3 linked regions of the Lytechinus pictus genome follow. The protein of the gene in region 1 purifies or fractionates together with the protein of each later gene. This does not show direct contact. Links are inferred from orthologs where the notes say so. Each region holds a gene or a part of one and is shown in the gene's direction. Other genes may lie near its edges. The genes, in order: Golgi phosphoprotein 3-like, ras-related protein ORAB-1 and ras-related protein Rab-11B-like.

Region 1 (7,397 bases):
CGCCCCCTCCAAAATGAAATCCTGGCTACGCGGTTGGCACGAGAGAGCCTTCAGTACACAAGGCATGAGTAGGCTGCACATTCAGACCCTTAACCCGAGTGAAGGGTTTGCCCAGCAGACTAGATAAGTGCTGCGCTGGCCGGCGTGTGCGAGGATTATTTTGTATGGCTTTGTTTGTTTTCACTAATTATTGGTCCCAAGAAATTTGAAAAGCCAAAAAAAAGGGGGGGGGGATTTCACACAAAAAAACAAAGGTGATATTTGGTTACTTTTTTCTTTTCTTTTTTTCTTCATATTTTCCTAAGTACCTGGGGGTGCTGCCTATATGGAGAATAGTAGGCCTATATACGCAGCACCCCCGCCACTAGCGTACTTACGGGGGGGGGGCAGGGGGGGCACTCTGCCCCCCCTGACGAGTCACAACCCATGCAAAAACGTATCTTTGCCCCACCTGACGAGCTTGAAGACCTTTTTTTTTTTTTTTTTTTTTTTTTTTTTTTTGCTTGTCAATTTTTTCTGGAACGAAATCCTTTATTTGTGATCGAAGACCTTTTTTTTTTTTTTTTTTTTTGCTTGTCAAATTTTTTGGCGGACGGTTTTGCCCCCCCTGTGGAAAATCCTAGGTACGCCACTGACCCCCGCCCAAATAATTTTTGGGGGTGCTCCAGCACCCCCACTTCCCAGGGCCATGATATACCAAGGTATATACGATGAAAATTTATTCATATCGCGGCACATCCATCTCATGTCTTCTTTTGCGCCATTAATGAAACTGATTTCACTCAAATTTCTTTATCATACAAAGGAAGCGCTGAACAATGAGCGAATACACATAATTTTATAGGCCATGTATGTTTCAAAACAAACCACAGAGGTTTCCGTGCTTCGCGGGTATTTGAAAGGGAAGATTCCTCTCCGTGCATCATCTCTTTCCTATTTTGAGCTTTTTTGAATTACTAATATAGAGCAGGTTAAGGTTTAAGAGAAATTTTGACATTTCTGATCTTCAACGGTATTCGCGGGAAGGAATATCTTCTCTCTGCATATTATACCATCGATCTATCCCGTTTTGCTGTCTTTTCAATGTAAATTTTTGTTATCAAATACCACTCAATGAATGCCCTTTTCTGTTCTCATTTTTTTTTAATAAAACGTTTTGACATCCACGCTTCGTGCGGTAAGAGGAATCATTTCCAATTCCCTAAACATTTTCCCCGGGGGGCCACTTCCATTGACGAGTGGATAGTCCACCGGCGTAAATCCACTCTGAGGAGTGGGGGGGATGATTGACTTTTTGACGATTTTTTTTCCGTCGATCTCACGCTTAGGTATAAGCACATGCACACTCTCACTGACCCCCCACATACCCCCTTACACACATTTTAATATTTATTTTGCGAGAGCGAGCGAAGCGAGTGAGCCAAAAAATAACAATTTTTCTAGTTTTTAATCGCATTTTCTAAAATAAATTCTAAAATATGAGCGAGTAAAGCGAGCAAGCCAAAAATAACCACTTTTTTGGTTTTCAATCGCATTTTCAAATATAAATTTTAAAATATGATGGTTGTTTATGACAGATATTCAAAGATTTTACTAACAGATTAATTAAAATATATTTTCTTTCTTAAAAAGTGGGGGGATATTTGTACACGCCATCCCCCCCCCTCTCCAAAGAGTTGGGGGATATATCCCCCCATCCCCCTCCCCCCGGATTTGCGCCACCATGGGGTCTCGAAAAGCACCCTAAACATGTATTTTCCATATTCTAAAAATGCACCCCTTAACAAGTATTGGCGTGTGAAACCCTACCCTTAACAAGTATTTGAAACAAAAGGATACTCTTGCCAAATATTCCCTGATTTTTAAAGCGATATTTTTATTGTTATGTCACGGCCGTCTGTCGTCGGTTACCTTTACCTACATCATTGCATGGGTTTAGTACAGCCCACCTCCCACAGTACATCTCGCGCAAATCGTACTCTTAACACGTAGTGTTGACTCTTGGGGCAAAAAAAGTACATCCCTTATAAAACATTTTAGTCTTAATTTTTTACCCCCTCGCAAATTTGACCCTAAAGGCCTAAATACGTAGCTTTCCTAACGAAAATAGATACCCTTTTTTCACTATTTTAGTGTTTTTGACACCCTTATTACGTTACGTACGTAACATGCCCTATCTTGAAAAAGACATCCTTTTTATGTTTTTTTTTTTTGGTCGCGCATGGTATCCACTCGTCAATGTAAGTGGCCCCCCGGGACATTTCCCAATTTGGGGGCGTTCATATAATTTATTTCGAAAACAATATTTTTTATAACAGCATTAAGCCAATTGAATTCGATTTGATAAGGGTATTAGCAGTGGCATAGTAGCGGGGGAGGGGGCAGGGGGCCACGTGCCCTGGGCGCCACTTTCAGGGGAAAGGGGTTGCAAATAATTAAAGAAAAGGAAGAAATTAATTTAAAAGGCAAAGAAATAAAGGCACACAAAAAGGAATACCAGTGAAGTTGATCAATACCCCCGTTCTATAGTGGAACCGGGGCCAGTCGCGGTTCTAGGAAGGGGCTTTGTGGGGACTGAAGCCCCCCCCCCCCAAAAAAAAAAAAAAAATCACTCAAGCCCCCAAACAATTTTCGACTCCAAATATAGTGTTGGCCCTATAATTTATTTGTATTATGATAATAGAATAATGCAGCTTTTCATCCATGTCACTCACCAAGTGCTCGAAAATTCGAAATTTTCTCGCTAGGTCGCTACACCTTCCCTCGAAAAAGCGCATCGAAATGCAGAATACATTAATGCTCTCTTAATAGTAACAATAATTATTATTTATTTATTGGTTTTCTTTATTTTATACTGCAGGGTAGGCCTGTTCAGTGATGCAAAACTGCTTTCCTGAGGCGCCCTGCAGTTGAACAAATTACTCAAATAATAATAAAAATAAATAAACAACAATAATAATAACATTTAGATCTATATAGCGCTTTTTTTCTGAGGATACAGCCCTTGCTATTATTAACCCGGCTTTAGCTCGAGCTACCATCACTGGCGCTCAGTGCATGCATGGAATTGATCCTGCCGGGTACCCATTCATCTCACCTGGGTCGAGTGCAGCACACTGTGGATAAATTTGCTTAACCTGTGGGGTTTTTTGCCCCCCCCCCCTTCCAACCACCACGAATATAACAATAATAACGCGTAAAATAAGGTCAAATCCACCTCACAAAAATGTTGATTTGGACCAACAGAGAAAAGTCAGACAAGCATAATGCTGAAAATGACTTTAAATAGGATGTAAAATAAGTTATAATATTTCAAAGTTTCGCTTATTTTTCACAAATGGTCAATATGCACTATTTAGTCACATGCAAATGAGAGAATCGATGATGTCCCTCACTCACTATTTCTTTTCTTTCTTTTATTGTTTGAATGTTGCAATATTTCAAATTTTACAGATTTGGCAATTGGATCAACTGCCGCTTGACTGAACCATAAAAATGGTAAACAATATGTTTAGAGAGAAATAAAACGTTATTTCACAGGAAAATGAGGAGAAAATTAGAATATTTCGTTTATAATATATAACAAAAGATAGTGAGTGAGTGAGTGATATCATCAGTTACCTCATTTGCATACCGACCGAGATGTGCATATAACTATTTTTGAATGACATCCGATTTTGATGAAATTTTTGGTGTAATAGTTATAATGGTTGAATTTCCTCTTTTTCTTCAAATGAAAGTGTTTTTTGGGGGTGGACTTGTCCTTTTAACTCTGAATTTGCCTATTATTGTCAAAAGCGCTCTGAATATTGCCATTCTTTTTAGGATATAATGTTTATATTGTTGATGACTCGGTCTGAGGCTAAAGTTAGTCATGTAATTAAACCATTAAGAGTTCAGAAGTGTCGGTCCACATCTCGGATGGGAGGGGGTGGAAATATCAAGTTATCGCCAAATCATAATGAAGAATTTTGCGGTTGAAGCACGCCGAAAAATATTGATTATTTTATTCACCACATTCCTTCGTTATAGGGGCGAGTCAAATTTTCTAAAATGTGAACATAATTATTATAGGCCTATAATAATTTTAGAATGAAAATCTTGGGGTGTCAGCTATCTTGTTTCAAGAGTTTTTAGATCTGTCTTCTTCATCTTTAATCTTTTTGATCAGTATTTGTTTGTTGAGTTGAAATAAACAAAAAACAAAACAGTGCAATTAAGTGAAGATAGATGGGGGGGGGGTAATCTTTATCGCATATTTTAGCCCCCATAATAATAGTTAATACCAGACACGTTTATACGCGCATAGACAATTGAAGATGGAACGCCACCTTGCGTTGAATTTCGATCAGCAATTTGACGTCACTTCTCGCAGACGAAGCCATTTTGGAAAAGCCGACCCATTTCACACATCATAACAAGCGGAATCTATAACTTTTCTTCAAAGATAGGCAGAACCTGCTGTAATAATTGACATTCTATCATGAGTACCTTGACTCAAAGAGGTAGTACTTTAATTCAAAGACACACAGGTGGAGGATCTAAAGGAGCAGAAGGGGGAAAATCAAGTAATGAAGCGGACGAAGATCCGTTTCGTGAAGAAGAAGATGACTGCGAATCAAAAGAAACGAGATTAACATTGATGGAAGAAGTTTTATTATTGGGTCTGAAAGACAGAGAGGTAAAGTATGGAAAACCCAGGCGCTAATGCAGTTTCGCACCGGCCGATTACCAACATACCTCATCACCAATACTTGTTCCCAAATGTCATGACAAGTCTCTCACTCTCAGTCTCAGTAGGATGGGGGGTCGGGTGTCCGGACACTTTATTTTTGAACTAAGCCTTCTGTTTTGTCTTTGGATTACACTAAAAATATGAATTCAATAGTTGTAATCATCTTCCATTTTGTTCTCTATAATATTTCCTTACATTTTGTACTAAAAATTGATGAAACTTCGCTTGTAAATATTTCCAAATGACTTTCTAAAATGGATCGTCCGGACACACAACCTGTCCGGACACACAACAACTGGGTACCGTATACTATAGGGTGTCTGAAGCCACACTGGGTGATTTCAAGTTTGGTGTTCTGTGTTGGTGTTGAGAGCGTAAAAAGGCCGCTGAACCGAGCTCCAACACCGAGCTGGGTTCAGAGGAATGATACCGATTGCGTTATCGATAGCACATGACGTCACGCCTCTGCGCTGCGCTGCTAAATCATCTCAACTTCACGCGAGAAGTCTCGACGACGAAAATGAAATCGGTGAGAAATGCATTAAATTCTCATCGTACAGAATACCAATGTTTTAATTAATTCAAGAATTCGAAAGAGTGAACATTATTCTTCATCAAAATATATACAGCTCAAAAATGATTTGTGCTCATCTTAACTGTAAAAGCTAATTTTACGGGGATGTCTCATCGCGTTCGCCGCCTGTTCACGAGCTTGAGATTGCCAACACCAACACCAACACCGAACTTGAAATCATGATTTTCCCAATCCCTGGGGGTTGGTGTTGGTGAATGGGGAAATTGCACGTAGATCGTCAACATCAGCCGCAGTGCTGGGTTCAGCAGACGATATTCAACACCAGCATTCAACACGAACTGCCGGAAATACGTCATATTTTCCGAGGTCAATCCCAACACCAGCCTGATTTCAAGTACGGTGTTGTGGCTGGTGTTGGTGTTGTCACAACACCAACACCAGATTTCAACACCGTACTTGAAATCACCCACTGAAAAGTGTCAGCATAAAACAGGCTGATTTAGGGGAAAATATGGCACATTTTTTCGGGAAGTTCAGGCTGCTAACGTCCATGCGCAGTGAGTCGCAATCGACTCAAATCTTTGTATTATGAGATGAAAGTATCCACAAATCCTTTCAAATATATGATAAACTTTTCTCCTGAAATTGCTACAGTTTTTAGTAAGAACATCATGAATTACACACTTCCGGAAAGGCGACACAATGATGGGTATATTTTGAGTCGCCGATTCGAAAAATCCAATACATTTACTACACAGGCATATCGCGCATGCGCACACACACGCACCGATCGTACACAAAAGTGCATTGACTCAGCTGCGTTGTTGAAACCTCTCCGTGGGTTGAGATATACGTTGAGTCGCCACCCCCTCTTATTTTGATAACAATTGTCACCCCCACCTTCAAAATGAAATGATTGTGAACATTTTTTTATACTCTTTATTTTGATACCAAATATTGGTAACTTGAGCGGGCAGTTTTGGAAACATCGATTACTTAGTGTGGGCGTCTCAAATCGTCGCCCGAGAAAAATGGCAGCTTAAATTCTCACCGTACGGATCCAAATTTGCAAGTCTGACTTTGACTGCGCTAAACTCCTTTGTGTTTTGCTGGATCTTTTAACCAAACGTTGCAGCATTTCAATGCCACAAGACACTTTTCAACATTGCAAAAGATTTCTAGAACCATGGTAGTCAGGCAGTGACAGGTGAGTGGCGCAACAGTAAAAAAATTGCACATGGCGACTCACTGCGCATGGACGTTAGAGTAGCAAAAATGTGATCTGAATTAATTATTAACTTGTGTTTGGCATGTATGGAAAGAGAAAATTCAGGGGGTTCTTTTGACAGTAAGGACAAGTTTATATGATCATTTTAAATAAGGATTTAGAATTAGAGATAAATTGCAAACCCTTATTTGTGTGTGTGTTGAGATTGCCATTTCCCCATGCGTTTTCTATGGGAAAACTAAATGTCTGTTTTGCACAATTTTTTTCACTTTGTCGCAATTTTTCATTGTGATCTGGTTTCCAAATCTTTATAAAAATCATACCATCAGAAAGAGCATAAAAAATCCTATTGGACTCTTTATGGACAAGTTTTTGGCATTAATGATAAATTTATAACAGCTCTCGGAAGCTAAAAATTTGGAATTGTGTGTGTCCATATCTTAACTACACAGTCTATGGCAGAGAAATGCTGAAAATTTACCTAATTTCATTCTTCTTTTTTGCAGCCAATAATTGGATTTTTTTCAAAAATGTTACATTTCTGTCAGTCTGAAGGTAATTTCTCTTCAAATTCACAAAGAAAATGTGATATTTTCTTGAAATAAGAAAAATAATTTTTTCTCCAGACACCCTACTCTCAGTCACATTTTGAGGTAAATAATATACCATACCCACCTCTTTTCCAAATATCGCGATCGGGAAGTTAGCAACCAAAAGATTCGCCTGCAGCATGCTGGCAGTTTGTTCGCCACATGTTCGTATGATTTGGTTGCTAACTTCAGTCCACATCATCATTACTGTGCACGGCGAATCCAAGCAATCCGCGAAGTGATGTCTGAGGATTCGAACAACGACATCGAGATCAAAGCTGAAATACAGCCGTTCCCGATCGCGATATT
Region 2 (8,087 bases), on another chromosome or scaffold:
AATAAGATATTGATAATAAATATAAAATAATATAATGATTTTTTTTGTAATTCAATAATAACAAGGATGGTATCATGGGTGTTAGTAGGGGCGGGCAAATAAAACCTATTTTTGTGAAATTCAATTTAAAACGATGAATTATGTTGCCATCTTGGCTGGGAGTGCAAACTAGTAATATATCTCTATGCCACAAATCTACTAAGTAGGCCTACTTTTTTTTTAAGAATACGTCTGATATTGGTTCTGAGCAATTTTTCGCATGTAAATCCTTTACATCTATACACATAAGGCTTCCAATATGTCTAACTGTGTGTTTTCGTGGTCAATGAGCACTAAACTATGAATCAGATAAGTTGGGTCATTTAAAACAACATTTTTGGGTCATTTTTGGTAAAAAAAAAAAAATTGTCCCCCAAAACACAATTTTTTGTACATAACACCTTAATCACTCATGATTTGTAATATATGTTCATGGCCACTGAGTCCAACAATAGATAAAAACAGACATGTGGTCTTTATTTGTATACTATATTTTCAGTGAAAATCGCATTTTCTGATTTTCACCTTTTTTGTAATGACTGGAAATAGACTGCAAATATCCATGCAACTACGGCCTGTTATTTGCTAACCATGCTTTCCTAGCGATTTGGTAGACAGTTACAAATATATCATTTGTATTATCTGGATTAAAAGAAATATTTAATAGTGTAGTTTGTGTCAAATATATTTCTTACTATTTCTTTTGTTTTTTATTGTTTGAATTATAGAATATTTAAATCTTTACATATTTGAAAAATAAGGACAATTTTTAAGGGCAGTTAACAAACAAAAAACACTAATTAACAGATGGAACTTTGTAAAACTTGTTTTTGTTTGTACGTTTATTGACAATTTAATGGGGTGATGGCAGGGAATTGAAACACCCTGCCCTCGATCGGGCGGTTTCGCTGCCCCTGTTTTGTTCTTGATGATGATGTTGTTGTTGTTGTTGATTTTGCTGTTCCTGGTCTTCTTTTGCAAGTAGGCCTATAGGATTATACCCAATGAAAAGCTCCATGAGGGTAATTATGTGTCCAACCAACATTGGGCATGTCTTTTTGGGCATCAAGTTTTATTTATCCAGTGTGATGAAAATTTTGCCCATTCTAAAGTAATTGCTGCTTATTTTTTAACCACACTGCATGGACACTACTTTATCATTCATTCTTTTTGCCGACGACTCAAATATATTTTTTTCTCATAAGGACCCCAAACATTTACTTGACACACTCAATAAAGAATTAAAACTAGTCTCAGAGTGGATCAAAGCCAACAAATTATCGCTTAATCTCACTAAAACAAATTACATGCTCTTCAGCAATATCATTGATGAACATTATTTTTGATAATATTAATATTCAAAGAGTATTAAGTACGACATTTCTAGGAGTAACTATCGACGACAGACTGTCATGGAAAGAACATATAGATAACACATGCAAAATAATTTCACGGAATATTGGAATTATAAATAAAGTTAAATTCTATTTTCCGACTCGTATATTATTAAACTTATACTCTACGCTGATACTCCCGCATTTGAACTTTTGTATTATTGCATGGGGGAGTTGTGCTGATTTTCATTTGAATAGACTTTTACTACTTCAGAAAAAAGCTTTGCGCGTTATTTGCCATTCTCATTATCGGGCACATACGAATGTTCTTTTTAAAACTCATGGAATTCTTAAGATACATGATCTTTACCATTATAATCTTGGATCTTTTATGTTCAACCTTAGTAAAGATGAACTACCAGACGTATTTTATTCTATGTTCACACGAAATATCAATGTACATCACTACCCTACAAGATCTGCTGGACTTTTCCATTTACCTAGAACGAGGACATTATTAACAAACAAACTGTTTATATCTTCTGGTATCAAACTTTGGAATTCACTACCGCAAACTTTACGAAATAAGCCAACTATTCATAGCTTCAATAGAGCACTTAAAAAAAATCTAACCAATAACTATAACACTCACATCATTCATCCTACTTAGGATATCTTGTGGATCTTCTGTTCTTCCGGATTCCCCCCTCCCCCACCCTGCCTTTATTTCGCTTCTTTTCCCGTCTCCTTTCTTTCGCTCTACCTGTTTTTTTTTTTTTTTTTTTTTTCTTTCCTTCTTCTTTCTTTCTTTTACTCGCTTTTGTCCTTTGTTTTGTTGTTGTTGTTGTCTTTTTTTTCAATTTGTCTGTTCTTGTAATATTTCGTCTGTCTTGTTTTGGTATAACTTTTTGTCATGTCTTGATCTTGTACCGTTCTGTCACGTCCTGGTTTTGTTACGTTTTGTCTTGTGTGTCCTTTTCACTTTTTCTTCATATCTTGTAAGATAATCCAGCCTTGTTTATTTTTTACTTAGGAGAATATGTAAAAAAAAAATACATTTAACAAGGATTTACATATAATTTTTACATATAAGTTTTACAAGAAAGATATGATGACTTGTTTATTGTATCTATTTTGAACTTCAACAAAAACGATATGATTAGTATATTATATATATATATTGTTTTTTGCATTAAGTCTTATTTATTGAAGGAAACCTTCAATAACAAGCTTTGCTTTCCAGAAGGTTCCTATTTCATTTCAAAATGTTATATTGTATTTTGCTTTACTTTGTAACTTTGTTGAAATTTTGGAATGAATAAATTCGTTGTCAATCAATCAATCAATCAATCAATTATGCTTCCTGCATTGGGTAAAATACTGCCCCAAATTGGTTGGACACATAATTACCCTCGTGCTGGTGAGCTGGTTAAAATGTTACCCAATATTTTTTTACAGTACAAAGAACGAGGGAGTCTATATACTTACTGATTGCCGTGTATGAATTATAAAATTTCAATTTCAATCAGACCCGAAGGGCCTGTCGATTATGTCAGGAATGACCACTGCCACGGTGGAACAAGTTACGTTTATCTGACGAGTTGCAACAGAGGAAATCCCCTTTCAGAAAAGTCAACGGGGCTTAGTCATTGTTGCTTAGAATAAAATTATATTTCTTATGTTTGCCGATTTTTTTTTTCGATTCTCGATATACCAAAGTATAGCATCGCTTTGTGTAGAAGGGTGGCCTCATTTTTGTTATCAAGGGGGAGGGGGGCTCCTATATAGGGCACACATAATGCCCAGCCCATCATGAGTAGACATTATAGACAGTCTGTTGGACTAATTCTCGTCAATGCTTACTACTTATGTTTAATAAAAATATGCTGCCACCTTAATTCCACAGTTTTCTACTATCATTGAACATTCATTCTTATCCTATACCCGTTATTTAATCAGCCCTAAATTGCCGCTTGCGCATGAGATTCACAAGAAACCATGGTCCTCATTTATGGAACTCTCTACCATGCAGAGTTTATCGAAAGACTATATCGTCTCTTTCTCATTCAAGTCAAAGGTTAAATCCAGTGTAACCGTCATTTTTTTCAATTTTCATCCACATTCTGAAATTGGTTTGTTGGTAAATATATTGAGCCTGTATACTTGTATATGCGCAATCGGCTTAACTGTAAAAAAAAAAAATGGGTTAATAACCCGAATCTTGTGCTCCAAATTAATATCGTTTACCCATCTATTCGCTAGGTAGGAATATTCCTGTACTGTTCATGCAATTTCAGGTTAAGCAAACTCCATTTATATTTGGCCAACTAAGCTGTCACACCAGGGTGCAAATCTTTGGAGAGTTTTATGAAAGAACTTGTGGGACTTGTTTAATCAGATCGTTTATCCCACAGTTACCATAGTAACAGCTTCTCAGGCCAACCAACGTCAACTATAAACTGACAACTTGTCGAAGCCTGTGGAACAAAAACAAGAACCCAAAAATGAGAGGATGGCCAGGTTATGTAGATTACATCATTAAAAGTTATTTTGTCGGAAAACGAATGTTAAAAATATAAAAATGCAGGTTTCGGAGAAATAGGCCGGGTTATTATTTTATAAATATATATATACGATAGCTGCATGTGGCCCCATAGGGGCACCCCCGGCCCACCCCTAGGCCTATTTGTGGTCCCCACATCGATCGGTTTCATCAATATCATGCTATCGATCTTTCTCTAAATTGTTCCTACATGTGATTAAAAAGTAAATCATGCGTTTTTTAAAGGACAAGTCCAGCCCAATAAAAAATTGGTTTGAATAAAAAGTAAAAAATCCAACAAGCACAACACTGAAAATTTCATCAAAATCGGATGTAAAATAAGAAAGTTATGACATTTTAAAGTTTCGCTTAATTTCGCACAACAGTTAAAATATGCACATTCTGGTTGGTATGCAAATGAGGAGCCTGATGATGTCATCCACTCACTATTTCTTTTGTATTTTATTATATGAAATATGAAATATCCTAATTTTCTCTTCATTGTCAAGTGAAACGGTGATTAATTTCTCCCTGAACATGTGGAATTGGCATCGTTTAATACTATATGATTCAGTCAAGTCGGTCCCTATGGTCAAATCTGTAAAAAATGAAATATTGTATAATTCAAACAATAAAAAACAAAAGAAATAGTGAGTGATGGACATCATCGACTGACTCATTTGCATGTCACAGAGTTGTGCATATCACTGTTTTGTGAAAAATAAGCGAAATTTTAAACTGCCATAACTTTCTTATTTTACAACCGATTTTGATGAAATTTTCAGTGTTATGCTAGTTTGATTTTTCTCTATTTATTCAAATCAATATTTTACTGGGGTGGACTTGACCTTTAAATAGAGGCCTAAAACAATTACAAGTTAAGGCGGTCAACTATTAAGACGATTTTGAATTGCTCGTGGACTGAGTGAATTATTGCAAATATTAGAGATTTGGCAGGACAATGTTGCTTGGAAACTTTGCATAGATCTAGATCTCTAATTAGTAGAAGGTTGATGAGTTCTGAAAAATGAATTTCGTAATTCAAAATATACTAGTTTTACACATCAGACCAAGTTTTTCTTATGTTATCAGCTGATTGCCACGTCGTATTCAAATGACGTCACCTCTATCCAATGAATACACCCCCTATTTCATGTAGTAATGCACAGTGGAGTAACTTGTACCGGTAATATACGTATAGTTGTATACAAAGCTCGCAGATGATACGAGAGAGCTAGAGATCATGCCAGCAGCCAGCGCAGTTTTGAAAGCGCACGCACACATACGTACGGATTATCTGTGTACAAATTGAATGTAAAAATAGCGTAATGTACAGGCAGCCATATTGAAACTTCCTCGATTGTAAAAGCCGGTGTAATCACAATTATTCACTCATTTCTATTCATCTTAAGTGTAATTAAAACACATTTTCTAACATACGTGGATCTACCCTGTCATGTCCACAATGAATCCGGAGTAGTAAGTATTGATACTAAGAACAGAATAACATTAATTTTGTTGGAAAAATGATGAGTTGCGTGTTGACTTGTGAATGTGAATGTGAGTGAGTGAATGCAAGTCTGTCGATGTCCATTGATTGATTTTTTTTAAAGGAATAGGATTTGTCATGTTCTGCATCTGTCTGCTGTGCACTAAGTATGCGTGCATCGGTACGACGCCTCTAAAATAGAGCATGACATTTCTTACTTCTAAAATCTAATGTTCTTAATCTTATGTTACATTAGTCTAGGCCGACTGAATTTTATTGCGAGTTATGTCTAACCATAGTCTGTAGTGTAAGAATGTAGTGTGAGTGTAGATGGCAAGTTCAAGTCTGCGCAGTCCCCCTTGACCTTGTCTGCGCACACACGTATCTGCGCGATTCTAGTAAGAGAAGATACGCAACAAACACAAACTTAACACATAGACAGATATTCATTAAAAAATCCGACTCAAGATGGTGGAAAAATAAGGAATTTTGGGCATTTCTTGTGACTGCCTCAAAATGCAGCCTTTCTCATAAAAAATACCCGAATCGTGTGCAAACTGAATGTTTTTTTTCAATCTGAAAATGACTGCCCGAGGTTTTTTCAAAGAAAATCCTATATTTCTTTCAAATTTGTATGAGATATATGGTACACTTTATAAGGAACATTATTAACTGAAAGATTTTTTGAAATAAAAAGAATTCCATGTTTAATCTTAACTCAAATCGTTAGGTGCGCAGACTTCGGGACCTAGCCTTGAGGACTCCATGATGATATTTTTTAAATATTTTGACAAACTTCATCATGGAGCCTTGACACTATTCCCATAGACGGAGAAGCGAGACCTAGACACCTGGATGGATTTCCCTAGGAAATCCATAGTTAGAGGGTGATATCGGTTTGTACGGGTGAATTTTATTGATATTTAAACCTTCAAACGCCAAATGCGTATGAAGGTTCCAAAAATTGGTTAATAAAAAAGTGAAAATTTTTAGGTTTCTTACCAGACCGATCTCGTGTAGATCCCTCAATCCATTTGTCAACAAAGCAAATACAATAGGTCTGACCCTTGAACCGCTTTGTTATGACGTACATTCGATTGGCGATGTTACAAAATGCCGTTTTGAAGAACAATTTATAGATACAAATTATTATTTAACAAATACTAAAATTTAATACATGATTATGAATAATTATAATAATAATTATTAATAATCACGTATTAAATTGCCTTTTCGTCCACTCATTTCATCTAATAACCAGTTGGTTCAATAGCCATTTAGGCCATACCATTTGGGCTAATTGGACTACATGTAAGTGTTAATTTGGCGAAATGAAGGAAAATAAATTGGGTTTTAGACCAACTGATTATGAGACTAAATGGCTGGAGACGAACTGGTGATTAGACAAAGTGATGATTGGACCAATTGGTTATTGAACCAAATGATTGATAGACAAAATGTTTATGGATGGAATGGCATCATACTAAATGAAGTTAGACTGTATGATGAGTGGACGAGTTAGCAGTAGACGAATAGGCAATTTACCATATAAAGAAAGTTAAAGGCAAAAACACTGTTGATCATCTTTAGCAATGCAATCCAGGATGTGGACTGTTTGCAATCATAAATAACATAAAATAAATTAATTTAAACCAGCAAAAGTAAATATAAACCTACATTATGATTTTTAGGTTGAAAACACAATTAGCATTGACTTTGTACACAATTACATTTTTGAGCAATTTTGGGTCTGACATGCACTTACTAAATGTTGGGTAATTTTGAAACTGCGTACCCGGTAAGATGCACAAGGCTTGAAAGTAAAAAGTCACTGAGCGGCGAAGTAAAAAAGTTATTGTGGTGGCGTAATGACGAAATTCGTCAAGAGAGGGGAGGGGGCCCCTCCCCACTTAAATAAGGGTTAAATTTTAAGTACAAAGACAACAGTTATACATCTTTTTATTGTTAAACATGAATTCCTTGTCCAAAATAACATAGAAACCAATGCAAAAATCATAAGCCGAGATATACAATTAAAAAAATGGGTGGGGGTCAATGACCTTTTTGCCCCAAATCATTTCTTTGGCAGCACCCCTCAATGTTTGACCGAGTGATGTAGACCGATTTTTCTGAAAAGGGTGTCAAGGTAGCACAAGCTGCATTTATGGAGCTGGTCCTCTCCGTGATTTGAAACATTGAGAAAAATTTCACCGTGTACTTGTATAGCCCACCACTACTATAATGCTACCTGATGCTTGTGCATATATTTCAAATTACTAAAAATGTAAACTAGCGATCTCTACTGCCTGCATTTAAACTATGGCATGCGATTGACACCTTAGATCCTAGATAGCACTTGGGACATTTATCTTCGTGATCTTGTAATTGTGGGTATGCACCTATTTTTTTGCAGTTTGTTTGTGTCACTTTTAGTGGTGCATTCTCGAACCAAAACAAAACATCTGAGATATGCTCAGATTTGAGCAGAAATCATCTACAATCCCAGAGCTTCCAGGGAGCCTGGAATTTGAGTATAAAAAAACGTGTGTCCTTTCTCAGGCACATACCCACCACACATTATCCAGTGTGCCTCGCCCCCTCCCCCTTGATGTGTTTTATTCCATTAAAATTGAACTGAATTATAGATTTTGACAATAAAAACAAGTAACTGGACTACATGTAC
Region 3 (7,035 bases), on another chromosome or scaffold:
TTAACTTGGCCCAATTTTGCATTCTAACAAAATGCAAAATTTCCTCGCGCGGTCGATCCGCTCTCGCGTTCAATAATATAGTTCTTACAAGAATTATATAGGTTATAACAAATCCCTATACGTTTAGCTTATTGCAAAGGATATTATCCGCTGCATCATGAGAGTATGGTTATAATAAGTCCATTTATGAAAACCAATGGCTTTCAAATATGGCTATAACTGATCATAAACAAATCAAAACCGATCAAAACATCATTTTTAGTGAATGTATATGTGTGTGGGGGCGGGAGGGGTGTCATATCCTGGAATCTTTGTGGAAGCGGGAGATAAAAACATTTTGTACAAGTTAAGCGCCAATTTGAGATACTGATTGCATTGACAAACTCAGTAAAACACAGACTCTGTATATCGATCGTACAGTGCCTCTGAGGCAAGGCAGGACATAAATATTTCCCCCACGCTTTACAATGTCATCCGTTTATAGAAGACTCTAATTCACATCTATTAACGTAATTAACGATCTGATAAATATTAATTTTGCTCAAAATTTTGAATGTTGCATCAGCTACCATTATAGTCTTAAATAGTATTCTAAATATTTCCTTTCTGTCATTTTTTTTCCTTTTCATTTGCATAATTGTGCTACTCCACATTTTTTAGAAGTTTATGTTATGGTTATGTGATGGTCTATACTCATTTCATAAAGCACCCTCATTGCTGATAATCATGATCCCATTTTTTGTTCATTTTCGGTGTCACCTTTAACCACTGAGCAAATGAGTTTTCATTGAACAAAATATGAACTGTTTAATCCTTATTTGCTCTCTATTTCTTTCTCCCTTTTTTCTTAAGTTTACTTTATTGATAATCTACCCTCAGTTTATCATCCTCGTGTATTTTTTATGCATGATCATTTTAAACTACTGAAGCAACTTTTTAAAGGCTTGCTCACTACCCCCCCTCTCTCTCTCTCTCTGCATTTCTCCAACAATTACTCACCCATTGAAAGACGAAATAGTCATCATTCTGTCTATCGTGATAGGCCTTTAATTGAAAGATGTACACATTTACAGTCGGCCTATACATTTCCCGTGACGTGCCTACACATCACTTGAAAGAGGTTTTTGGACACCATTCGATCTGTAGTCCAACTACTGATATTTGCTCGCTCGCATAATGATATCACAACAAATCCGTTACATCCATCGACACTGAATGCTGTTAACTGAAAGATGTACCGATCGACGGTTACCCCTGTAGTTGTATAGGCCATTGCAAGGTCATGGCCCTAGCCGGGGGTGCTGGTTCACTCACCCCCAAGATTTTCTTTCGGGGGGGGGGGGTGCTGCGTGCATTAATTTCCTAAGGCAGCACCTCCAGGAATTCTGAAAGGAGTGACAAAAATTGAGAAATGAAATGACCTTATACCCATCCCCCTCGCCCATGGGCGGAAATCCAAGGGGGACAGGGGGACGCGTCAGCCCGACTTAAAATAGTAGGGGACACAATATCAAATGTCCCCCTACTATTTTTGGTCTTTTGTGATGAAAAGAAATACCTCATTCAAAATCGAAATAAAACATGTATTTTGGACGAGATGACGTACGTCTTTAGAGGTGATAACCTTTTTTCTTTTTTTTTTGCTTGTCAAATTTATTTTGGTCGACCTTTCATTTGGGGTGATAACCTTTTTTTTTTTTTTTTTTTTTTTTTTGCTTGTCAAATTTTCCAGCCCCTTGTCCCCCTACCTTTTGGGAGAGATTTCCGCCCCTGCCCTCGTCCTTTTTTTTATTGTCGAAATTCTTTGGACCAAAATGACCTTTATTTTGTAGTGATGCTTGACAAAAAATGCTTGTATAATTTTCATCAGAACCTTCAGTAAAACAAAATCGTTTACAGGGCCCTGCCCTTGGTGTGGGGGTGACACCAACATTTTAGCTGCTGTCGATCATCCCCCTACTCGGACAGGATTTACGCCAGTGTCCTACATACAGGGGCGGATCCAGCCTTCGCCAATAGGGGTGGGGGCCCGGAATTTTTTCAGCCATATTTTCCCCGATCGGCCGCTCGAAGATGATTTTTGCCGGGATTTTTGGTTTCTTTGAAGGGGTAGTCATAATAGTCACTTCTTAGCTTTATTCTAATGAATAAACATAAATATATAATACCATAATCCTTATTTATACAATGTTAGCGCAAAGCGCGAGCTAACATTTTTATTGGAAATATTATGTTTTTTTTTCTAAAATCTTGAACATTCTGGGCAATGTTTGTTATCCTGAAAAAGATGTGTATGCAAATGAAAAATTACTACGAACGTGAAGCGCGAGCAGAATCGAACTGATGGAAAAGATACTGTTAAAGACTGCTTGCAGTTAGCCATGAAGACGCTGTACATATTTTAAAAATCAAATAATGCGAGCGCGAAGCGCGAGCTGAAATTTTTTGACAATTTTACCTAAGGAATGGAAATTCTAAGCACTTTTTGTAACTTAAACAGAATAGGTATATAACTAAACAATAATGATGCGAGCGCGAAGCGCGGGCGGAAAAATTCGAGATTTAAACCTACTGAACGAGACACTCTATTAAGGTTTTGTAAATCATGACAAGGATGAGTAAGTGAGGATCTTCCTTACATTAATAATGCAAGCGCAGAGCGCGAGCAGAAATTTTTTATATACGTTTTGAACTGATCGAAAATGTACCTGTTAAGGACTGCTTGCACTTAGCCATGAAAACGTTTCATATTTCAACAATCAAATAATGCGAGCGCGAATTAAGCGCGAGCTGAAAATTTTTGACTTTTCTTCATAAAGAATGTAAAATTTTAATCAATTTTTGTAATCGTGAACAGGATTATAACTAAACAATTGATGCGAGCGCGAAGCACGAGCGGATAAAATCGAGATTTAGACCTAAAAACGGGACACTCTATTCATGTTTTGTAAATCATGAAAAAAATGAGTAATAGGGGGTCTACCTACATTAATAATGCGAGCACAAAGCGTGAGCGGAAAATTTTTGATATTGTGATCTGAAACTGGATAATGATTCAGAGAACAAGTTGACTATCTGAATAAACATGCGCGCGCGTGTTTCATATTTAGACCTAGAATCTAGGCATTCTTAATACATCTTTTATTATGAAAATCAAAGCGAGCGCGAAGCGCGAGTTTAAACTGTTCGATTTCCGATCTAAAAAAACAGTTATAACTTCAGCTCTATTTTTCAAGAACTTTGTAGGAAAATTTTGAGGTGGATATGGATCGCACTTAATAAAGAGCTAATATTTTTAATTATTATTACTTTCAGTTTTAACATAGGACCGGGACATCCTTAGGACATGTATATGAAAATGATGACTGTCTTCCTATTTCTCTTGCTAAGTGCGAGATGAAACAAAATGGACAATTTAATCATTAAATTAATATCTTATTCATTAATGCATGAGGGCGCAAAATCTGATGATAGAAAATGTTAATATTCAGAACATAAAACTGACATTTTACAAATCACTTTTTTTAATCTCCATATTGAACACAATATGAAAATCACCTAAAAAAAAAAGTAAAAGGCAATGCGAGCGCGAGCGAAAATTTTATACAGTGACATGAAAGATTCTTTTTATTTTCCAAGTCTTCCCCTCATCTTATTTTATTAACTCATCTTCCTCCTCTCTTTTCCCTCCTTTCCTCCTTTCCCCCCTTTTTTTTTCTTTCCTTTTTTTCTTTTTTTGCTCCGCCAATAGGGGGCCCGGGCCCCTCGGCCCCCCCCCCTGGATCCGCCTATGTACATAGACCTTATAATGGTATGGAATATACATATCGTATCACAATATTTCTGTACTCTATTAATACACGTAGTTTTGCAATGATTGCGAACAAAAATTATAAGTTGCCCCAATAATTTAAATGTTTCTAGACCTATTCGTAAATTACGTGTGTGCATATATTGCAATTATTTCGGATCGCGAATGTGACGTCACACTACTGTAGGCGTTAGAAGCCGCCATTGTACCGAATTCGAAGACTAATGTCTATCTCAAATAACTTGGAGAAATCGTCCAAATCTAACGACATCGGTGAAGTTTACCCTCTAATATTGTTTTGATATTCTAATTGATAACCAATTCGAAACGATTGGATTTTTATTGATCAGATTATTGCTCATCATTTTATGTTTATTTGGGAATCCCTACCGGTGACATATCCGGAAGTCACTTCTCAGGGGCGTAACCGAACAGGTTGAAAGAATTTACGAAGCGATACAATTTACAAGATGGGCACGAAAGATGATGAGTACGATTATTTATTTAAAGGTGAGTTTTTAGTAAAATGGTATGTGTCTGTAAAAAGCGTAACTTTGTAGCTTTCAAAGAGTCTAGCGTACGTATTATTACAGTAAATCATTGTGTCTAATGAAGACCGGTTTTGTACGCTGTTGCACCAGTGATAAGCCGACATAAACCGTGTACGATACCCAACGTAACGTACATGTACCGCCTACCGGTACTGTCCGGACGTACAGATGTCAATTGGGCAATGCTGTTGTGCTGATTTAGAAAATTTGTCGTGAACGAACGATGATCAGCCGCTAGACTAGACAGCTGGCAGCCGTCTGTTTTGAGGAGTTTTTCAACATTTTTTATTTTTTTAATTTCTCCTCGTACACAGACGGCTCGCTATCGTGCAACGTGCAGCCACCATGATTAGGGGGAGAACAATTATGAATTAATGCAAAATCCCCCCGACGGGGCACATTTTTGTCTTTATTTCATAAAAATATTGAAAAAGAGTTGAACCAAAATAGAGTAAGAGATTATTCCGTTTTAGTCTGAAAAGCACCAAAACGGGGAAAAATAAACTTAAAAGGGGAAAAACAGTGACTTCGGCTGTCGCAACTTCACTTCCCCATTTTATCCTAACTTAAGTATAGTCACGTATTGTATTACCGGACACTATTGTGATTCCGGACGCGCATATAAATGCGTTCGAAAACAATTTCGTACCGTAAGACTTCCGCAATTCATTTTCACAGATCAATACATAGAACAAGATTGCAAAAACAAGGCGAAAAAATCAAATTTCTACCTTATTTATCTCTAAAATGACAGAAAATGCTTAAAATATCATATAACATAGTTTTGCATTAACAATTGAATGAATTGATATATTTTCTAACAGAAATATGGGCCTGATTTTCCGAATTTCAATCTCGTCGGCTCCTTCGATCGAATGATGAGGTGAGGTGTATTGTGGGTGATCGTCGACCGCTAGTTCTCAAGGTACCGTGCGTGAGGTTTACCGTGAGTAGACCCGTCGACGATCGGCTGCGCATCGATAGAACTTGATGAGCGTCACGATACGAACGAGCACTGGAAAGTGCCATGAAACATGCAGCTAACCAAAAAATAAAAAATAAATTAAGTTATCAAACACGAATTTATTACCAACATCTGTTCAGATTCGATATAAAAAAAGCAAACAAAAAGTTAGAATTTATTCATGATGTGATATAAGAAGAAAAAAATCACAGAAATTTATTCTTACATCATTGTAATCAAGGATATCTTTACCCGTCCGGCGCGCGTCCGGAATCATGATGTAATTTGTCGCGCACGAAAATAATTGTTTTTCGTGGAGGGGTATGCGGCAAGTGCGATGTAAAGAAAATGGTTGGTAAATATAAAATAATTTTATCATATTAATAATTTTCATAATATTTGGAATAGCAAGTGCGAATTTTTCTTGATTGTATTTCCTCTAGTTGTCATTTTTAAAGCACTGAAATAAAGGTGTCCGGCAATAGGATACACTGCCATACATAAACATGGCCATTGAGTCCCCTGTACAGATCGTGCTATAACTTTGGACTCTGTATTTGGTGAGTGGAGCCACCGGCCAACATAGTTCAGCAGAACAACCAACATAACAGAGACCGAAGCTTTTGGTCTACCGCTAGACTAGATTAAGAACAGTCACGTCATTGAAGTGACAATTGCAACATGTATGTGATTGAAATATCTGATCTGAGTAGCCAGGTCCCAGCCCCAGGAGGAACTTTGTCGTAACTTGGACAGTTGAGAGTAAAAATCATTCACTACCGGTATAAACGTCCGCGGTTAGAATGTAGATCTAACACTAAACAGTTAGTGTATGATTTTTACTCTCTTCTCTAACTAAACTTCTAAAGTCCAAGTATAATCAACAAAGTTCCTCCTGGCTAATGTTAGTAATAGAATGATGGGGAGACCTCAAGCTGTATGCACTTTGGTTTACTAACAATAAGCCCTACATGTATGCCAATTTTAACAATTTTTTTTCTCACAATTTGTAAATATCCTAGGCCTAACCCAGAAGAAAATATCACAAAACTCACTAACTTGGGTATAATGTTAGATCTAGGCCTAATAGTGATATGAAAATCCCAACGTATTTTCTGAACTCTTCTTTATTTCGCTGCCCTAAGTCATAGCTTTAAGTTTCGGACCCCTTCTAACGTTACATAGTATGTAACGTTAGAAGGGGTCCGAAATGTAACGTTAGAAGGGGTCCGAAACTTAAAGCTACGCTACACCAATCCCCAAATTCAAAGAACTCCTTGAAAGAATCCAAATAAATTAAGTACACATCCAACTTCATGCATTGGTGCCAAAAATGTATGGGTTAGCCACTACAGGGCTCCATAACACAAAGGTTTGCAATGGATTGCAAATATAAAAGAACCGCACTGATTGGTCCCTGGTCGGTATAACCAAATGCGCGTGTAACATTGATATTGATTGGTCAGTTTATTTAGCGATTGATCGCTAATCTTTGTTACGGAGCCCAGGGCTCCGTAACGCAGGTTTGCGACGGATTGCAAATATGAAAGAACTGCACTGATTAGTCCCTGGTCAGCATTTTAAACCAAATGCACGTGTAACATTGATATTGATTGGTCAGTTCATTTAGCGATTGATCGCTAATCTTTGTGTTACGGAGCCTAGGTGTGTTTGTACATCAAACCATCCAGACCCGCCCTTTTTATGCA

The links.
Region 2: the proteins of Golgi phosphoprotein 3-like (region 1) and ras-related protein ORAB-1 purify together in Drosophila melanogaster (affinity purification with western blotting; 3 studies listed by BioGRID, with this or other methods). This does not show direct contact. The link is inferred for Lytechinus pictus from reciprocal best matches to the Drosophila melanogaster genes sau and Rab1.
Region 3: the proteins of Golgi phosphoprotein 3-like (region 1) and ras-related protein Rab-11B-like purify together in Drosophila melanogaster (affinity purification with western blotting; 3 studies listed by BioGRID, with this or other methods). This does not show direct contact. The link is inferred for Lytechinus pictus from reciprocal best matches to the Drosophila melanogaster genes sau and Rab11.

What each region holds. Positions count from the first base shown.
Region 1 is NC_087249.1:5,503,499-5,510,895, forward strand, and holds the start of Golgi phosphoprotein 3-like, read left to right. Parts: upstream 1-4,329; 5' UTR 4,330-4,483; coding exon 4,484-4,681; intron 4,682-7,397. UniProt on the Drosophila melanogaster protein: Phosphatidylinositol-4-phosphate-binding protein that links Golgi membranes to the cytoskeleton and may participate in the tensile force required for vesicle budding from the Golgi.
Region 2 is NC_087251.1:18,746,145-18,754,231, reverse strand, and holds the start of ras-related protein ORAB-1, read left to right. Parts: upstream 1-5,078; 5' UTR 5,079-5,371; coding exon 5,372-5,394; intron 5,395-8,087.
Region 3 is NC_087247.1:18,305,769-18,312,803, reverse strand, and holds the start of ras-related protein Rab-11B-like, read left to right. Parts: upstream 1-3,956; 5' UTR 3,957-4,281; coding exon 4,282-4,321; intron 4,322-7,035.